4 linked regions of the Arabidopsis thaliana genome follow. The protein of the gene in region 3 interacts with the protein of the main gene of each other region in a pairwise test. Each region holds a gene or a part of one and is shown on either strand. Other genes may lie near its edges.

What was found.
Region 1: the proteins of CNGC17 (region 3) and ANNAT1 interact in a protein complementation assay, tested with the Arabidopsis thaliana proteins (one large-scale study listed by BioGRID).
Region 2: the proteins of CNGC17 (region 3) and AT3G16800 interact in a protein complementation assay, tested with the Arabidopsis thaliana proteins (one large-scale study listed by BioGRID).
Region 4: the proteins of CNGC17 (region 3) and AT1G78860 interact in a protein complementation assay, tested with the Arabidopsis thaliana proteins (one large-scale study listed by BioGRID).

Annotation. Positions count from the first base shown.
Region 1 is NC_003070.9:13,223,338-13,227,791, reverse strand, and holds ANNAT1 (annexin 1), read right to left. Parts: upstream 2,625-4,454; 5' UTR 2,489-2,624; coding exon 2,413-2,488; intron 1,817-2,412; coding exon 1,671-1,816; intron 1,585-1,670; coding exon 853-1,584; 3' UTR 553-852; downstream 1-552. Other genes in the region: PUM9 (pumilio 9), read left to right, coding at 41-290, 364-468; AT1G35710 (kinase family with leucine-rich repeat domain-containing protein), read right to left, coding at 3,406-3,692, 3,777-4,454.
Region 2 is NC_003074.8:5,719,258-5,723,719, forward strand, and holds AT3G16800 (Protein phosphatase 2C family protein), read left to right. Parts: upstream 1-1,683; 5' UTR 1,684-1,897; intron 1,898-1,967; exon of another isoform or gene 1,968-2,016; 5' UTR 2,017-2,036; coding exon 2,037-2,285; exon of another isoform or gene 2,286-2,484; coding exon 2,485-2,772; intron 2,773-2,954; coding exon 2,955-3,075; coding exon of another isoform or gene 3,076-3,131; exon of another isoform or gene 3,132-3,172; coding exon 3,173-3,396; intron 3,397-3,492; coding exon 3,493-3,666; 3' UTR 3,667-3,928; downstream 3,929-4,462. Other genes in the region: PUM24 (pumilio 24), read right to left, coding at 4,179-4,305, 4,423-4,462.
Region 3 is NC_003075.7:14,854,161-14,859,746, reverse strand, and holds CNGC17 (cyclic nucleotide-gated channel 17), read left to right. Parts: upstream 1-1,727; 5' UTR 1,728-1,967; coding exon 1,968-1,996; intron 1,997-2,207; coding exon 2,208-2,964; intron 2,965-3,048; coding exon 3,049-3,347; intron 3,348-3,451; coding exon 3,452-3,563; intron 3,564-3,646; coding exon 3,647-3,883; intron 3,884-3,958; coding exon 3,959-4,687; 3' UTR 4,688-5,053; downstream 5,054-5,586. Other genes in the region: AT4G30370 (RING/U-box superfamily protein), read left to right, coding at 474-1,004. UniProt on the Arabidopsis thaliana protein: Probable cyclic nucleotide-gated ion channel. Forms a functional cation-translocating unit with AHAs that is activated by PSKR1/BAK1 and possibly other BAK1/RLK complexes. Required for PSK-induced protoplast expansion.
Region 4 is NC_003070.9:29,645,449-29,649,222, forward strand, and holds AT1G78860 (D-mannose binding lectin protein with Apple-like carbohydrate-binding domain-containing protein), read right to left. Parts: upstream 2,244-3,774; 5' UTR 2,052-2,243; coding exon 720-2,051; 3' UTR 555-719; downstream 1-554.

The sequences.
Region 1 (4,454 bases), on a different chromosome or scaffold from region 3:
AGTTTGAAAAACTCTCCTTATAGTTAATGAAATTTGGCAGGAACTATGTGGTGCAGTACTTAATAGATCAACAAGTTTCTGCAGTGAAGTTGCTGGTTCAGTTTAGAATGCACTACGCCGAGTTAGCTACTCAGAAGTTTAGTAGCCACGTGATTGAGAAGTGTCTAAGGAAGTATCCAGAGAGTCGAGCTGAGATCGTCCGTGAGCTCCTCTGTGTTCCAAACTTTGAATATCTTCTGCAAGATCCTTATGCGAACTATGTGATCCAAACTGCTCTCTCTGTAACCAAAGTAAGTCCAAATCAATACATATGTTATAAGCTTTTAGAAACAGAACTTGACATGGCTTTTGGGGTTGATGCAGGGACCTGTTCGTGCTAAATTGGTGGCGAAGGTTTACAGGTACGGGAAACTACACTCGAGCCCTTACTGCAAGAAGATTTTCTCCAAGACCATCTTGAAGAAGTGACTTTGATTAGTAACTAAAAAATGTTGTTGTTGTTATTTTGTGTTTCAAGATCGGATAGGGCTTTAGAGAAAACAATGCCCTTAACTTTTTTGTTGTTGGTCTCCCTTTTTGTAGTGACAACAACTTTTGTCAAAACCAGAACTACTTGTTAGTCTGTGTTTTAGGCCAATGCTCTTCATATATATATAACTTAAGAGACCACACTGGTTCTCTCTGTCTCTCTCTTTTGCATTATTTAGGAACTCAAAACACACAACAGAAACAAACAAGGTTTTTGTAGAAACAAAATCAAACGATTTGAAACTCATCAAAGAGAGAGAGAGGGAGATAAGAGATAACAGAAGCTGTAGAGCAGCTTATGTTTCTCTGTGGAGGATTGATTGATTAAGCATCATCTTCACCGAGAAGTGCGACGAGCATCTTCTCGTAATCTCCACGAGTGTCTTTGGTAATAGCTTTCTCCAAAGGAATGCTGTTCCTGCGCTGGTACTCCTCTCCAATGACCTTCAAGTCAATCTCAGCTCTTGTGGTCACAATTCTAGTGAGTGCTCCTTCATCAGTTCCAGTTTTGTTGATTGCTGAACGAAGAACATCGACAAAGTAAAGCTCTGGTCTTGTCAAGCACTGAATGGTTGACCTCAAAAGTGCAAGGAACTTGTCATCATCATCTCCTTCCTCAAGACTCTTGAGAATTTCCTCGCCATGATCATCTTGGTAACGGTTAAAAGTAGCATTGATCTGAGCTTTGCTTCTTGTGGACAAGATTCTAATAACATCCTCATCATTGTAGTGCTTGTCCTTGATTTTCTCATGGACCAGCTTAGCTTCTTGCTTAGCCAATGTCATGTTCACTTCATCTCCTTCGTACCTGTATGAGGTAACAAGAGAAACCAAAAGCTTTCTGAAGTCACCGGTAGTGTGGTGAGCAACGTCCTCTTCAAGAGACTTCTTGTAGCGAGCATGGTAAGCTTGCCTAGCGTGAAGCAGCTGCGTTGATGTCCTTGTGCAAGCAACTTCCATAAGAACTTGGTTGCTTGAAGTCCATCTTTTTGTAGCTTCATTAGCCAATAAAGCATCACGCTCACCGGGTTCAAGAGTCCACAACAAGATAGCTCTCTGTCCATGACCAAAAAACCAATTAGAATACAATGACTTCACACAAGATGTTTAAAAGTCGATACTTAAAAGTCCGAAAACCGAACCTCGAAATCGTTAGAGAGCTCCTTGTCAAGAGTCTTGAGAAGGTCTTCGCCGTAGGTTTCGTGGTATGCTTGCCTGATGACTTTCCTCTGTTCAGCACTTCTGTGAGCCAAGATTGATATGATCAAGTCCTCGTTCGTACCCCATCCTGCGAAAAACACGAATCAGATTCACTTTACATAACCATCAAAGTCACATACTTCAGATCCAAGTCACACACACTTCAGATCCATAATAACAGAACCGGTCAAACAGATTCACAAAATATAAATCTTAAGATCTTAGTGTTGTATTACACGTAACTACATTATAGATCTAGACTAAGAAGACAGATCTGTGACAGTGAGAATCAAAACACAACTCAATCAAGATCTCGTGTGAATGTAATCATTGTCATTATCAACATGATCAGACAATCAAAACTTCATCACTAACACAAAAGATTGTTATAGATCACACAAAGAAAGGAGATCATTGTCACTGATCCGATCCATGAAGGAACAATCTCGATCTACATCATCGTACAAATGATCATAAAACGCTACCGACACAACATTCATATCATCGGACCAAAACAAAGATCGATCCACATGAAAAACAATCAAAACAAATGATCATACAATAACCCACCAAACGAAAACCAACAGATTCACATCACTTTTACAAAAAGTGGATACTGATCATGTAAACAAGAAGGTAACAAAAACAGAGAACGTAACAAGAAGAATCATGAAACTATTATACCTTCAAAAGCGGTTCTCAATTGCTCAGCATCATCAGAAGGAGCAGGAACAGAATCAGAAACCTTAAGAGTCGCCATTTTTCTTCTACTTTTAGTGTTTTGTGTATGTTGGGAGTCGAAGCCGACACAAGATTGACTTATAAAGGGAAAGGCTAAGAGGTTTAGGACACGACGTGGCCTGTCCGTATATACCAAAAATATCCCAAACGAATTATTAATTCTTCTGCCACGTGTTTCTTACACTTTATGAATTATTTAGCATTTGCTTAACTTTATGCACAAATCATGATTTCATAAAAAACTATCGTAATCTCGCATTAACGGTTTCATTGGTTGTCACAAAATCATCCGCAAGATTATAAGTGTTTAGATTTCGTTATTATAATCCATTTTGTATTATTTTAACACGTTACAGAGTACAAGAGTGTAAGATTTTTTTATTATCACTTGCAAACGTGATGTCCATTAGAACTCATTATACAAAAAAAAACTTATTTCTTTCTTTACAAATCTCCTACTATGCATTTTTTTTTTTAATCTCCTACTATGCATAAGAAATCTCTTACTAATTCTGGCGATATACAGATAGACAGTATCCAAAACTTTATTTGAATGTTCATATGTGAGGAGTAACACAATGACCATTATCTAAAAATGCTTTTAACAGTTTTTTTTTTTTTTTTTTTTTTTTCATTTTTTTAACTTCATAGATTTCCATTAACCAAACACATTACAAGACCAAAAGGCCTAACATGGCACGCAAGCCGCAAAGATAAAAACAAACAAGGCCCAAAGACCAACAAGGGCGCAGCCCAATACATACAAAAGCTGAAGCAGGCCGAGAAGCCCAAACAACAACAACAAAAGCTGAAACGAGAGTCGACACCCCTTCCTGCAAACACAAGCAAGAACAGAGAACAAAAGCCAACAGAGATTACTGTTGCTGTATAGATAAACACAATGATAACATAGAAATTGATGGAGAAGTTCAGTTTCTAAGAAAATGTAGTGGAGATTGACAACATCGTTGGCCGAGATTCTGGATTTGCTTGTAAACACAATAAAGCCATTTCCACCATCTTCAAGAGCTTCTCTCTATTTTGTCCCCGTGGTTCTAATACACGTTCATCGGAAATGCTTCTTAGCGACAGAGCTTCTCCTGGAGACGAAGACAAACTCGATACCAAATCTCCCGGATGTTTCCCAATTATCAATTCGAGTATCAAAACCCCGAAGCTATACACATCGCATTTCTCCGTCACCTTCATCGTGTAAGCAAACTCTGTTGCGAAAAATCAAGTTCAATTTCGAATTTAGTGATTTAAATTTCATAAGCTCAAAATCAGATTTAGGGATTTAGATTTACCTGGTGCAACGTAGCCGTAGGTTCCAGCAACGGCGGACCAGTTTGATGAATCCGTCTTTAGAAGTTTTGCTGTACCAAAATCGGAGATCTTAGCTGTGTAATCGTTATCGAGAAGGATGTTTCCGCTGCTAATATCACGGTGAACGATCGGTGTTATTCGGTCATGGTGCATATACGATAAAGCGTGAGCCACACCTTTCACGACGTTGATCCTTTTGGTCCAAGTGAGTCGCTTAGCTTCTTCGTCGTTGGCTAAGAGTTTGTTTAAACTTCCTTTTTCCATGTACTCGTAGATCAGAAATGTGTGGCGGCGGTGGGAGCAGAAGCCGAAGAGCTTCACAACGTTGCGGTGACGGATCTCTGTTAATGCTTTTACCTCGTTTAGGAACTCTTGCTTCACAACTGGCTTTGATATCTCTTCGTCTATTGTGTCATGTAGTCGTTTAACGGCTATGATTGTATCTTGGAGGTTTGCTCTGTAGACTTTGCTGTATCCTCCGGTTCCGATGAGGTGTGTTGGATCGAATTCGTTTGTTGATTCGATGATATCTTGGTATTTGAATTTGCCATCAACGCTGAATATGGACATATTCTCTCCTGTTTCAGGATCTGTGTTTCTTCCATTTTGTAGTTTTCGTTTCCGAATGCAGTAGGTGAATGTGTTTGCACATATAGAGA
Region 2 (4,462 bases), on a different chromosome or scaffold from region 3:
GAGGATTTGGTGATCAAATATTAATCCACACATGCAATATACGAAAAGTTAACTTTTTGTTCGGTTCTGAAAGTAATGAAACCAAAAGCAAGAGAAAAATCAGTTTAGTTAGGAGTTCTATTTAACAAATTTCAACATTAATCTTTTTCAGAAAAAGATTAAAATCAAAGAAAGCAAAACGGACAGAGTTTTGTAACTTGGTTCGGGTACATGTTTACATGATCTTATTTCATAGTTTCCCAAGTAAGAAATAGATTTGGTTTGCTAGTTACATTTGCGACCATGCATTTAGCATATTCCATCTAGTGAAAATTAATTAATATTATCTATTTCTATTTTTTATCTTTTATTTCACTATCTTATTTCTACCACCCACCCAAGCTAGACCGCCATCTTAACTAATAATTAATCAAACTTAAGAGTCGTAAGCACTGATATCTATGGATTACCTAAGAAATCTATAGTGGACATGTATAAAATCTAACATATGCACTAGGGACATCCATATCTTAGGCACATATGTATGGTTAAAGACAATTAAAAAAAACAACCTTACACGTAAATACCTTATACACACGTAAAATTTGCATACGAGCCAATGTCTTTCTTGTATATGTATGTATTGATATTTTTTTCTCTTTTTCATTCTTTGTTAAGGGAAATATATACTTATCTTATATGACCCCTAAACGGCTAAACGATATAAAAACAACGTTAAAAATCTTATTATGGTGCATGGCTTGCTTATAATTGTTTAGCTATTTTTAGGTTATTAGTAGTCGCAGCATAAAAACGGTATGTCAACAAATTTCATGGTAGATCTAGATTACGACCTCAAAACTCGTTTATACAAAGTATACAACGTTTCTACAATTTATATTAATTAGTTTTTTGTGAGTATGCATATATATCGTAACTATGTCGGGTTTTATATTATTACATTTAAAATGATAGGAACTTATCATTTGACAAGGTGTAACAAAAATAATAATTATAAAGATGAGAGTTGTTTCGGATCAAAGGCACTTACCATTAGCTTTTAGATTCGAGAGCCTCTCACAGCCACACCTTTTTTTGGACTAGTCCTTATTGTTTAACAAACCCCACATGATATCCTTTTATATTTACACCACTTTCGTTAATTTATTAACTTTCTTCCACATCCACATTTAAATTTGATCTAGACATTTTCTTATATTAAACTATATACATCTCTATCCTAATGAGGTATTAACTAGCTATAGTTTATTCATTTGTCGGTCTTAAGCTTTATTATTTGTCATGGCAAGAAAAAGAAAACTTTGATTGGTTATTCATTGTGGTTGTTGTAACGCTTTTTTTTGTTTGTGTTATTTGACCCCAAACATAAATAATTCTTCATTTTCTTGCGCGTTTTATGATTGCGTTGAAATAACATCTTCACTCGCCAAACACTCCAGTAATACCCATTTTTCCAACATATACACTTCTAATCATACCCACAAACATACACACGTTTTAATCTGCAGCTTCAAGGATATGTTGCCTTCTTTAATTGAATCTTATTTACCAATGGAGAATACGTATACATTTCCTTAGACTAAAAAAATATATAAACCCTTTTGTTAATTATAACATTCAAGTATTCAACTATAACTTCTTAAATAAAAAAATTCGTCAACTTTATTCATAACATATATACGTGTCCTTGTCGACATGCAAAAAGAATGTATATGTGCATTTGTACGTGTATATATGTATTAAAATAAAAGGCTTAGAATAGTCGAAGGAGAGAAAGCGAAAGATGATGATGAGTCATAGAGACAATTCACCAGCTTATAAGTAGTAAATCCACCAAAAGGAAAATATATTCAACAGAGAAACTCCGATCAAGAATATTCATATCAGAGAAGAAAAAGTAAATTCCTATTAAACTTCTGATTCTCTTTTTTCTTTTTGTTCTGCTTTTCATTTGCTTTTTGGATATCTTTTTACAGTAGTTATAACTTATAAATGAAGTTCGTAAATATATTGTAGGATCATAAGAGAATCAAAGAATGGTGCTTTTACCAGCGTTTTTGGACGGATTAGCGAGAACTGTATCGACGAAGAAAGGTAAAAAACTATCGGAAGATGAAGATGGAGGGAGAGAGATCGCAAAATCGATGATTAAAGATTCGAAGAAGAACTCGACGTTGCTCGGTACTTCAGGCTTTGTTAGCTCCGAAAGTTCTAAGAGGTTTACCTCTATTTGTTCTAATAGAGGTGAGAAAGGAATCAACCAAGATCGTGCAATTGTTTGGGAGGTACACTTTATATAAATACTAGCTATATGTTAGGTAATTCGTCTTTCCATGAAACGTATTATGATATCTACAAATTATTGACGAACTTATATGTTAGAAATGGAATCATCACATGCATGTAGTTACTAATTAATTGTGTTTATAAGATTTGTTGTGAAATTTAAACTGTTTTTATGTATTTATATTACATAATATATAGGGATTTGGGTGCCAAGAAGACATAACATTTTGTGGGATGTTTGATGGACATGGACCATGGGGACATGTGATAGCCAAAAGAGTAAAAAAATCATTTCCATCTTCTCTGCTTTGCCAATGGCAACAAACTCTTGCCTCCTTATCATCCTCGCCGGAATGTTCCTCTCCGTTTGATCTTTGGAAGCAAGCTTGCCTGAAAACATTCTCCATCATCGATCTTGATCTCAAGATCAGTCCTTCCATTGATTCTTACTGTAGCGGCTGCACCGCTCTCACCGCTGTTTTGCAGGTAACATACATACATATGTTCATAATAGTACTGAACACCTTTAGCAAAAAACAAAAATACATAAGTTCTTGTAACCATATTATAACTTTTCATTTTATGGTGTATAGATAATATTTTGTGAGTATTTATAATGTTTCATTTGAAAGATGCTAAATGATAAAGTTTGATTTTGTCTTTTTAAGGGTGATCATCTCGTTATAGCAAATGCGGGTGACTCACGAGCAGTAATAGCAACAACTTCTGATGATGGAAACGGTTTAGTCCCGGTTCAGCTCTCGGTAGACTTTAAACCAAACATTCCCGGTAGAGTTCTAGAAGCCTTTCCATATTTTACAGTTACTTTTACTCAGATGAAATGACGAATTAACAATTGGTATGTGATAATTTCCGGTTAAAACAGAGGAAGCAGAACGGATAAAACAATCGGATGGACGATTGTTCTGCCTAGACGATGAACCGGGAGTGTACCGGGTGGGTATGCCTAATGGAGGATCACTCGGTTTAGCTGTTTCAAGAGCGTTTGGAGATTACTGCCTTAAAGACTTCGGTTTAGTCTCTGAACCGGAAGTAACATACCGAAAGATAACCGACAAGGACCAGTTTCTAATCTTGGCCACCGATGGGGTGATATATCAAACTTACTCAGCATTTAAATCAAAATCAAGATTGATAAATCATATAATTGTGTAATGAACTAATGATGTATGTATGTATATGTAGATGTGGGATGTGATGACGAATAATGAGGCAGTGGAGATAGTAAGAGGAGTTAAAGAGAGAAGAAAGAGCGCAAAGAGATTGGTAGAGAGAGCTGTGACGCTTTGGCGTAGGAAGAGAAGAAGCATCGCCATGGATGATATTTCTGTTCTCTGTCTCTTCTTTCGTCCTTCTTAGTTTAACTCTTCTTTAACCTCTCTATTACTTATATACATTTATCAATGTATTTTGGGCGTCATTGAACAACAAAAATGTGATACATATACATTTTTACATAGAATAATAGATGTTGTGAGGAGTGATTGAGAATGGAGAGATAGGTGAGTAAAGAGTTTTATAATGGTTTTGTTTGTAAGTACGACATGTAATGGTTCATATATTGATCAAAGTTTGGACCTTGATCTTGATTATGATTTCTATAGAAGACAAATTTCTAAAATCTCAATTCTAAAAACTAAACTATATGCTGGTCCTGAATAAATCCAATCAAAATCATAACTCAAGACTTGAATAAACAATTTTAAAAGAAAAAACTATTTCATATATAATATCCAACATTGATGAGTTTTGTGACAAGGATTAGTTTTCAGTTTTGTCATAAAGAGGATTTGCTTCTACCCTTTATAGTGACAAAAGGACAAAATTTGCCATAATATTCGCAATTCTGAAAGCCAAGTGAGGCCGTTGCATCATTCAGGTTTCTTGGTTGCTGAGATCTTCAGAGTACCTTCATTCACCAACACCTGAAGCTCTGTTTTAGCCATCTCACGAACTTGAACATCTTCAGTCTCTACGAAAGCAGATAGTATCTTTGAACTGCCAAAAAAAAAAAAAAAAATTAACGCAGCAGAACAAGATTTCAAGGCTTGACGAAAAACACCTGCTTGTTTGCAGATAAATGGATGTATGAGAGGACTCATTAGACTAACTAACCAGTGTCCTTGTGCCCACGACCGACATTTTCCAGACAAGG
Region 3 (5,586 bases):
TTTATCCTTAAATGAAGTCTGGTTTCGCCCTTTGTTTTCTCCTCTAGTTTTCTTGTAACGCCAAACTACATTCTGTATGATCAAAATTTAGTAACATAATTTATCAGAACCCCATTGTTTTAAAACGTGTCTGTGTATTTGTGTTTATATACGCTTAATCTTCTTCTTTCTAGTTAAATTTAATCAATTTAATGAAAAATTTGGTATATAAAAAAAAAGACTTTGCTCACGAGTTCCTCTCATAAGGGCCAAAACTAGTTAAAAAGTTATCGTCAAAAACTGATATAAAAAAGATGTCCGAATATTCCCGCATATAAATATCTATCAGACAAACTCTTTTGTACAATATACTTTGAATCCGATAAATTTTCGATCTTCAAAATCCATAAAAATCTCTCCTTTATTTAGCCCTAAAACAGAGTATTAGAGTTTGATTCGTAAAAGAGAATATTTTTAATCTCCGCCGCAAGTCGATGTCGATAACGATTCCCTACGATGGCTCAATCTCCCGCGAGCCATCACCGTCTCCACCGCCGCCAAAAGCGAACACGAAGAATCTACCGACGAAGATTCTCTCTAACTTCCTCATAGGTCTAATCATGATCCCTGTAGCTATAACCGCTTTTATCTTTATCCTCACGTCTCTCGGTTTCACCTTCTTCTTCGCTTTCTACTGGTTTCTTCAACGAAACTATCGCCACCGTCTCCGCCGCCATCGCCGTCACGAATACTCAGATGGGTTATCTCCAAGATGCGTGAAGAGGCTTCCTCAATTCAAGTATTGTGAGCCTAGTTCAGAGTACGGAGGCGATGATTGTGTTGTTTGTATCGATGGATTTAGACAAGGACAGTGGTGTCGGAAGCTGCCTCGATGTGGACATGTGTTTCACCGAAAGTGTGTGGACTTGTGGTTGATTAAAGTCTCGACTTGTCCGATTTGTAGGGATAGGGTTTATAGATTTGAAGAAGGAAGAAGATGGAGACCACAAGGTGAAATTTTTTGATCGGTGGTTTTATAATTAGATTTGAAAGTGTGTTTAGTTTGTTATCATATTTAGCAGCAATTTTGGTTTTCATCAATAGTCATGTACAGTGTCTTTTTTTTTTTTTTACACGGCTTCACAATTGAAAGCTTGTTTCTTCACCGTTTGATGAATTTGATCCAATAAGAGAATGATGGGTTTCTGTAGAATTTAACTTAGTTTGAGGTTTGATTATCATGCCAATTATTAAATTCAATCTAGTCAATTACTGATAGAAATGTTGTCCATTTGTCACTTTAAACATGTTGCTTATGTTACCTTAATGATTTCTCATAATTTCACTTGAGATTCAGTGGTTAATCATCAATGTTTCTGTTTCAATTTGTCCATGATGAAGTATAAGTTCTAAGTAAAGCTTGGTTCATGTGATTTTAATTTACCTACTTCACCTCCAAAGTTATGTCAACTATGTTTTCAAGTGTGTGATTCAAAAGTTTATATTGAACATAAAAATAAAGGAGGCTAAAGAATCGTTTTCTGATTGGAATGTGAGATTGTGACTCACACGGAGAAAGTGATTGTGATTGGATCTGACTATAAGACTAAAGAAGTGTTTTTGTGAAGTAACAAGTAACATTGTCTAATTAGTGTTTTGTATTGTAAACTAATAATGACTTTGATTAACGAAATAATGTCACTTTAGTCAAATGTGTTGACTTTCTTGTCTTATACCGATGGCTCAAGTATTCCCAAGAAAAAAAAACAAATATCCCTCCGATTTCTGACTCGTCCCGTGACTCAGTGATTCTCCTCTTCCAATCCTCTCCGGAAGAACTAAACAAAAACACGATCTTTCTCAGATTTAGAGAGAGTAAGAGTGAGAGAGTGTCAGAGACACGAATCAAAGAAATGATTTTTAAAAGCTTCTGTTAATTCTAATTTGCATAGATTTGTTTACTCGAGCTTGAGCTTGAGCTTCTTCTAATGGAGTTAAGGAAGGACAAGCTTCTTATGTAAGTTTTCTTTCTCTCATCCGTCGGTTAGACTTACGTTCCTGAAAGTCTTCAACTTTGATTGCCCAGAAATTAAAAATTCTAGACTTTGCTTTAGATTTATCTCTTCTTTAGATGTTACAAGCTCAAGCTCCGATTTTGGGTACTGGGTTTAACTTAAATCTCTAGTTAGGTTTCAGATTACAGATTTGAGTTGTGTATTGCTTTGTAGGTTTTACTCAGAGGGGAAAGAAAGCAAAGAAGCTAAATGGGCAGTGAATGATCCAATGAGCAAATCTTATAAGCTCTCTTTACCTTCAGCACTAAGACCTGATAATCTCTTACCTGGAAATAGACTTAGATACACTGATGCTTCTAAGTCCAAATCTTCTAAAGTCTCATGGTACAAGACTATTCTTGATCCAGGAAGTGAGATTGTCTTGAAATGGAATTGGGTCTTCATTGTCTCATGTATGGTTGCTCTCTTCATCGACCCGTTGTACTTCTTTGTCCCAGCTATAGGAGGAGATAAAAACTATCCTTGTGCAAGGACTGATACAAGTTTAAGCATCCTTGTTACTTTCTTCAGGACAATAGCGGATCTTTTCTACTTGCTGCACATTTTCATTAAGTTTAGGACTGGTTTCATTGCGCCTAATTCAAGTACTAGAGTGTTTGGTAGAGGTGAGCTTGTGATGGATCCTAAGGCTATTGCTTGGAGGTATATTAAATCTGACTTCATCATCGATCTCATTGCGACGTTACCACTTCCACAGATAGTTATCTGGTTTGTTATATCGACTACAAAAAGTTACCGGTTTGATCATAACAACAATGCTATTGCTTTGATTGTGCTCCTCCAATACATCCCAAGATTCTATTTGATAATTCCGTTAAGTTCTCAAATTGTTAAAGCAACTGGAGTTGTTACAAAGACTGCTTGGGCTGGAGCTGCTTATAATCTTTTGCTATACATGCTGGCTAGTCATGTATGAATCCCATTCCTTCTTCTTCCATTATTTCATTCCTTAAATGTGATGATAATCAAAGCTACAATGTTTTTGTTGGGACAGGTGCTTGGTGCAGCCTGGTATATATTATCGGTTGATAGATATACATCGTGCTGGAAATCAAGATGCAATGGTGAAGCTGGCCAAGTTAATTGTCAGCTATATTACTTAGACTGTGATTCAATGTATGACAATAATCAGATGACTTGGGCAAATGTCACAAAAGTGTTTAAACTCTGTGATGCACGGAATGGCGAGTTCAAGTATGGGATCTTTGGGAATGCAATCACGAAAAACGTTGTGTCTTCACAGTTCTTCGAGAGATATTTCTACTGTTTGTGGTGGGGATTGCAGCAGCTTAGGTAATGGCAGAGATCATAGAAATTTTTTGATACCAATTATTACTCTCCTTTTGATTACAAGTTTTAGAATCTGATGACATTTTCCTGTTATTGTCATATTCTAGTTCTTATGGACAGAATTTGTCCACGACCATGTTCATGGGCGAAACCACATTTGCTGTTCTCATTGCAATCTTTGGTCTTGTCCTCTTTGCCCATCTCATTGGGAATATGCAGGTATGGATTCCTGCGTTAGGATAAGTTCTAAAAGTATCTGCTTTTGTTCTTATGTTTCTTGGGTTTTGCCTTTTGTTTGTTAGACATATCTGCAATCTTTGACTGTACGGCTTGAGGAATGGAGATTGAAGAAGAGAGACACTGAGGAGTGGATGAGACATCGTCAACTTCCTGAAGAGTTGAGAAACCGTGTGAGGCGATATGAGCAGTATAAGTGGCTTGCAACAAGAGGAGTCGATGAAGAGGTTCTCCTGCAAAGTTTACCCACTGATCTTCGCCGTGATATTCAACGTCACCTATGTTTAGATCTTGTTCGAAGAGTAAGTTTTTCTATTGATTTGTTTATCCTACAAATGGTTCAACTTTTAGGTTAACTACTATCTTGAATCATGCAGGTCCCATTTTTCTCTCAAATGGATGATCAGCTGCTTGATGCGATATGTGAGCGCCTGGTTTCTTCTCTGTGTACTGAAGGGACTTACCTTGTACGTGAAGGTGACTTGATCTCAGAGATGCTCTTCATCATCAGAGGTAGACTCGAGAGTTCCACAACCAATGGAGGCAGAACCGGTTTCTTCAACTCGATTATACTTAGACCTGGAGATTTCTGTGGGGAAGAGCTTCTTTCTTGGGCTTTGCTTCCAAAATCAACCTTGAATTTACCATCTTCTACAAGAACAGTTAGGGCTTTAGTTGAAGTCGAAGCATTCGCTCTTCGAGCTGAAGATTTGAAATTTGTTGCAAATCAGTTTAGGCGGTTACACAGCAAGAAGCTTCAACATACATTCAGATTCTACTCTCACCATTGGAGAACTTGGGCTGCTTGCTTCATACAAGCGGCTTGGCGCAGGTACAAGAGAAGAGTTATGGAGAATAACCTCACTGCGATTGAATCAATGGAAAATGAAGAAGGAGAAGTAGGAGAAGAATTAGTAGTAGTAGAAGAAGAAGAGTGTGTTGAGGAGAGTCCTAGAACAAAGATGAACCTTGGAGTTATGGTTTTGGCATCGCGTTTTGCAGCTAATACAAGACGCGGTGTTGCAGCTCAGAGAGTTAAGGATGTAGAATTACCCCGGTTTAAGAAACCCGAGGAGCCTGATTTCTCTGCTGAGCATGATGATTGACTGATGTATAACCAGGAGAAGAAGCTGACTTTGTTCCATAGAAGATCTTAATGACAAGAACACTACAGAGTAAGTTTCCTGTTCCTTTGGGAGACATAAAGAAAGAAACTCAAGGCGGGTTTTGGTTTGTACACTTAAACATCTTTTGTAATATAAGCTTGGAGAATTAGTTTTGTTGTACTATTAAAGAACTCGTTTCTAAATTCTCTAAATGTAAAGATGAGGAAGTTGAAGTGGATTATGTACAAATCACATCAAACCTTGCAAAATTGATTGAACCAACAAGGAAGTAAAAAGATGTCTAAGCCCATTCGTCAAAGCCCCTATATGCCGTGGTTACTGACTTACTGTAACGTTGAGAATAAGATGGTAAAGAAAGAAAAAATATATTTTCTTGAGCATGTTGCATATTGCTATCGACACAAGCTTCTTTTTAAAGAAAGGTAGACTCACTTAATCAATAGACATAAGATCATACTAATGATGAGTTTGGACTTTGGTCCATGGGAAAAAGTTAAAATGTTTACTTGCTTTCTCTACTGACCTAGATATGTCGGATCAAATCATAATCTACATTACAGGATTACATACATATTTGGGATTTTTCTTTTTGCAATATGGCCACAAGACCAGCTCAATGTAATCATGGATTCTTAGTCGATTTAAAAAGTTGTAAATATTTTAAACTAACATATTGAAAAGTTTCTGAAAATTTCTTGTCCCATATAATATACAAATAAATTTTATGGTCTTGAATGACAATAACAATATAGTATGGCACAAGAAGTTAGATTGAACGGAAACTGAATCATGAAAACAATGGTTTTCAACAATCATAATTATAGTAACATATATTAATATTTTGAATCGTTTATTAATATGTGAAATTTTTAAACATG
Region 4 (3,774 bases), on a different chromosome or scaffold from region 3:
AATAACACCTGGCATCTTTCAAGTTGACTTTTAAAAATCAAAGCTAACAACGAAAACGATGTAAAGTTATTAGTCTGCATGATTTAAGACATTATGTACATGTATAATAAATATATAAGAGCGTTGACTGGTCAAAAAAAAACGAGACAGATGACCATCTCTGTTAAGGTGACGCGGCGTCGAAGCGCCGTAGCACGCATCTTATTCGTATCATATTTATACCGCTTCTTTAATAATCCAAATTAAAAGTTTGAATCTTTCAATGGCTTGTCATGAGAAGCAAAGTGTTGTGTGCACGTTCTACTGCATTGCATCAGTGTCTAATAAAAATATAAAACATTTTTTCACAACGGAAAGTTAAGGTTTTTCTTGAAACATTACCTTCAAAATATGGTCTCAAGCTAAAAAAAAAAGAAAAACAGAAAACATGAAAGCTTAAACTCATTCATGATTCAATTTCTCAATTCAATCCTTAAGTATATCATATTTTGTGATGATACTAAATTAATGAATAATTTTATTTTTTTTGGTAAAATAATGAGAATAATTGAATTTAGCTGATGCGTTTCACTTCAATTTATTACGGTGTAGCTTGAGAATCAACATGCAATCATAAAACAAGATAAACCAATAGCAACACTTTTTCAGAAAAGAGAAAACAAAGGACAACGTAGCCTTATTATTCGTCAAAACGACACACAAAAACCTTTGTTTACGCTTCAAATGGCAAGAGCTGACTTCTTGCTAGCATTCGGAGCCTTGACATAAGCAACTAGGGAAGTATCTCCGGTTTTAGTCAATGTCTTGAGCTCATAACCCAACCAACACCTCGAACTCTTCCTATTGTAGAAAAACCCTAAACACTTACAATCTCTCGTACATTTGTCCCCACACGCACTCTCCGTTGTCGTTGATCCACCGTTATACTTCGTCATAAAACTATCAGCTCCTTCGATCTTGAAATAGTGAAATGTCTTGGGATCGCAACTAGCGAGACTCGGAATCTTGCAAGTCTCATCCCAACCAAGAAGCCCTATGTCGCTAGGACAAGCGTTACACTGACCTTTCTTACACAAACCAAACCCCAAACAATGCTCAGGGATCCTACACTCATCGTTACCGTCAGTGTTGTCGTTAGTAAACGCCGTGTACGTTACGTCCCAAGCCGTGGAAGTCGCCAACGTACTGTAACTCCAAACTCTGATGTTTCCGTCTGACTCTAACCGAAGAAAACTCAACGTCGCATTGTGTTTAGGCCGCGAGAGGAACGTCGAGACGTTGAATTGAGAACCAGAGTCGACACCTTCCATGTGTAGACCCCACGTGGTGTCGGCATCCTCCACAGCTTGGAACGTCATAGACTGTAACTGAGCTATCTTGGTGAAGAATTCGTATTCGTAGTAACCGATTGGTTTTGGAGTTTTGTTTGTCGTGTAGTACAAGACTAGCTTCTTGGCTTCCATCACGAGACTGTACGGTCCGTTTGCGTTGACCGATGGAGAAAGTCTGCTTACGAGCTTGTTTTGACCGTTGAGTTTCAAAGACTGTCCAACGAGAAGCGTGTCGGTCGGAGAGTCAAAGCTTTGCCATACGAATTTTCCATTTGAATCATATATTACCATATTGCCATTCTCCAAAATTTTGATCCCCACGACGCCTTTGTTAGCCGTGTTCGTTTGCCAGACCACGCGGCCATCGGCTTCAGCAAGTACAAGGTTTCCATCTTCGCCGAAAGTCAACGTGGCGTTTTCTTTGACTGGTGAGCCTCTGTTTGCTTCCCAGACCCATCTTAGAGTGGATTCTTGGGCTCTGTTTCCGATTCTAAGAGCGAGAGTGTATGCGTTTTGGGTTGTGTTGTAGAAACAGAGACGGAAGTTGTCGCTGAAGGGGACGAAGCCACGTACGTCGGGGTTGTATTCGATGGGACTGTAATCGGTGTAGCCTCCTTCGTTGACCACTCGAAATTGGTCGTCGACGGGAACTTTGGCTTGTGCTCCGACCAAGAATATGGAGAGAGTGAAGAACAGAGCTAATGTGGTTGAGAATTCCATTTTTTGTTATGTGTTTTTTTGATGAATGTTGGTGTGTTTTAGTATACTGAGTGAGCTTCTTTTTATAGGATGCAATGATATGCTTTTGAAACCTCGTCACTTTAGCAGGTGTATATTAATTTATCAATGCTATTCGGTGTAAAGTGAAGTGAAACAAACTTGTATAATAATTTGAAACAACTTGTATGATAATCTATCGATTCTTAACAGGTATAAAGTGATAATTTTCATTTTAGTCAATATTAATTATACTTGTTTTGTACAAAGTAACATGTTTCTTGTATAAAGCGAGTCAATATTAATTATACTTGTTTTGTCAGTTTTCAACTATAGTTTTTTATTTATTTCTGTAGCACCACAGCAACATTAGTTGGAATTGGAATTTTGAAAGGGTACGTGAGCACTTTGATATAATGTGGACCAATTTTTAATTACGAGCCACCGGAATTATGCTATTGGTCGTCCCGTTGGATTTTTGTTTTAATTGTTTATTCGACGCATGTGATGTGAGCATAGAGATAGCCTATTTGATATAATATTTTAAGTACATTATTTCATATACCGTTTCATTGATTTTTTTGAAATTACTCTGAACCAATCTGTTTGCCTTATATCAATCCATTTTCGGAAAATCGCCACTCCTTCCAAACTGAGGACCATACAACGTTATACCAACGGATCCGATAAGCTGCGTTATCTACACTTGGTTATTTTAAAATTAATTAACGTTTTAATGAGTTTGCGAAATATGGATGCGAAACAGATCCTCATTTTCATTTTCTTCAGTTGCTATGTTCCAATTTTTAGTTTTCTGAGTTTGATCACCAATTTTTTTGAGAAGTTGTTAAAGTATTTGTTTCCTTTTATGATTAATCTCAATCCACCTTTTTTTTGTCTTTGATATATTAGATCACTGTTAAAGGTGTGCGACCTGCAACAGAGTGGTCTTTTCCCGATCAAGTTAACATTTAATAACAACGTACAAAATGTATGACATAAAAAAGTGTTTTGACTAACGACTAACAGCGATACGACTAACAGTGGTTCAACTTGTGCTTGGCTTCGACTAACAGACGCTTCGACGAAATGTGAAGTAAAAACAATAATTGTTCAAGTAATATTCATACTTCGCCTAAAACGGTTTTTATATAAGCTTTTTTTAAATAAAGTGTGATTTTTGCACTTGCCTTTAAATGCGGAATTGCGGAAGTGTTTTCAAGTGTTACGAATAACTATGTTTTGACTAAAATGTTAGGAGTAATTTGCCTGACTAGTTTAGGAGTACGTGTTCGTGATTTAATATTGTGTTCAACAGTATAACTAATGTACTTCACTAAGTATGCTTTGTTTAGAAGTATGCTTGGAAATATATGTTTCGACTTTTAAGTAAATTGATCTAGTGTTTTACGTGTGTTCGGATTTAGATATAAGTTTTTTGAGTAAGTGCTTCGACTAAATTTTGGCTAAAGGGATTTTGTTGAATTAATTAAGTGTTAATGTAATTTTAAAGACGTAAGAAAATACACATTTATTAGTCGTGTGTGTATCTTGTTAAATGTGTTTTTTTTTGGTTGAATGGTTCAGTGCTACGACTTTGACTATTTTTTGTTGAAAATAATTTGGTGTTTACTAAGTATGTTTCAACTATTTTAATTTTTTAGTTGTGAGTTTTAATTAAAAGTTCCGCATCATATCTTTTTTTAAGAAAATATTTTTTAGTTAC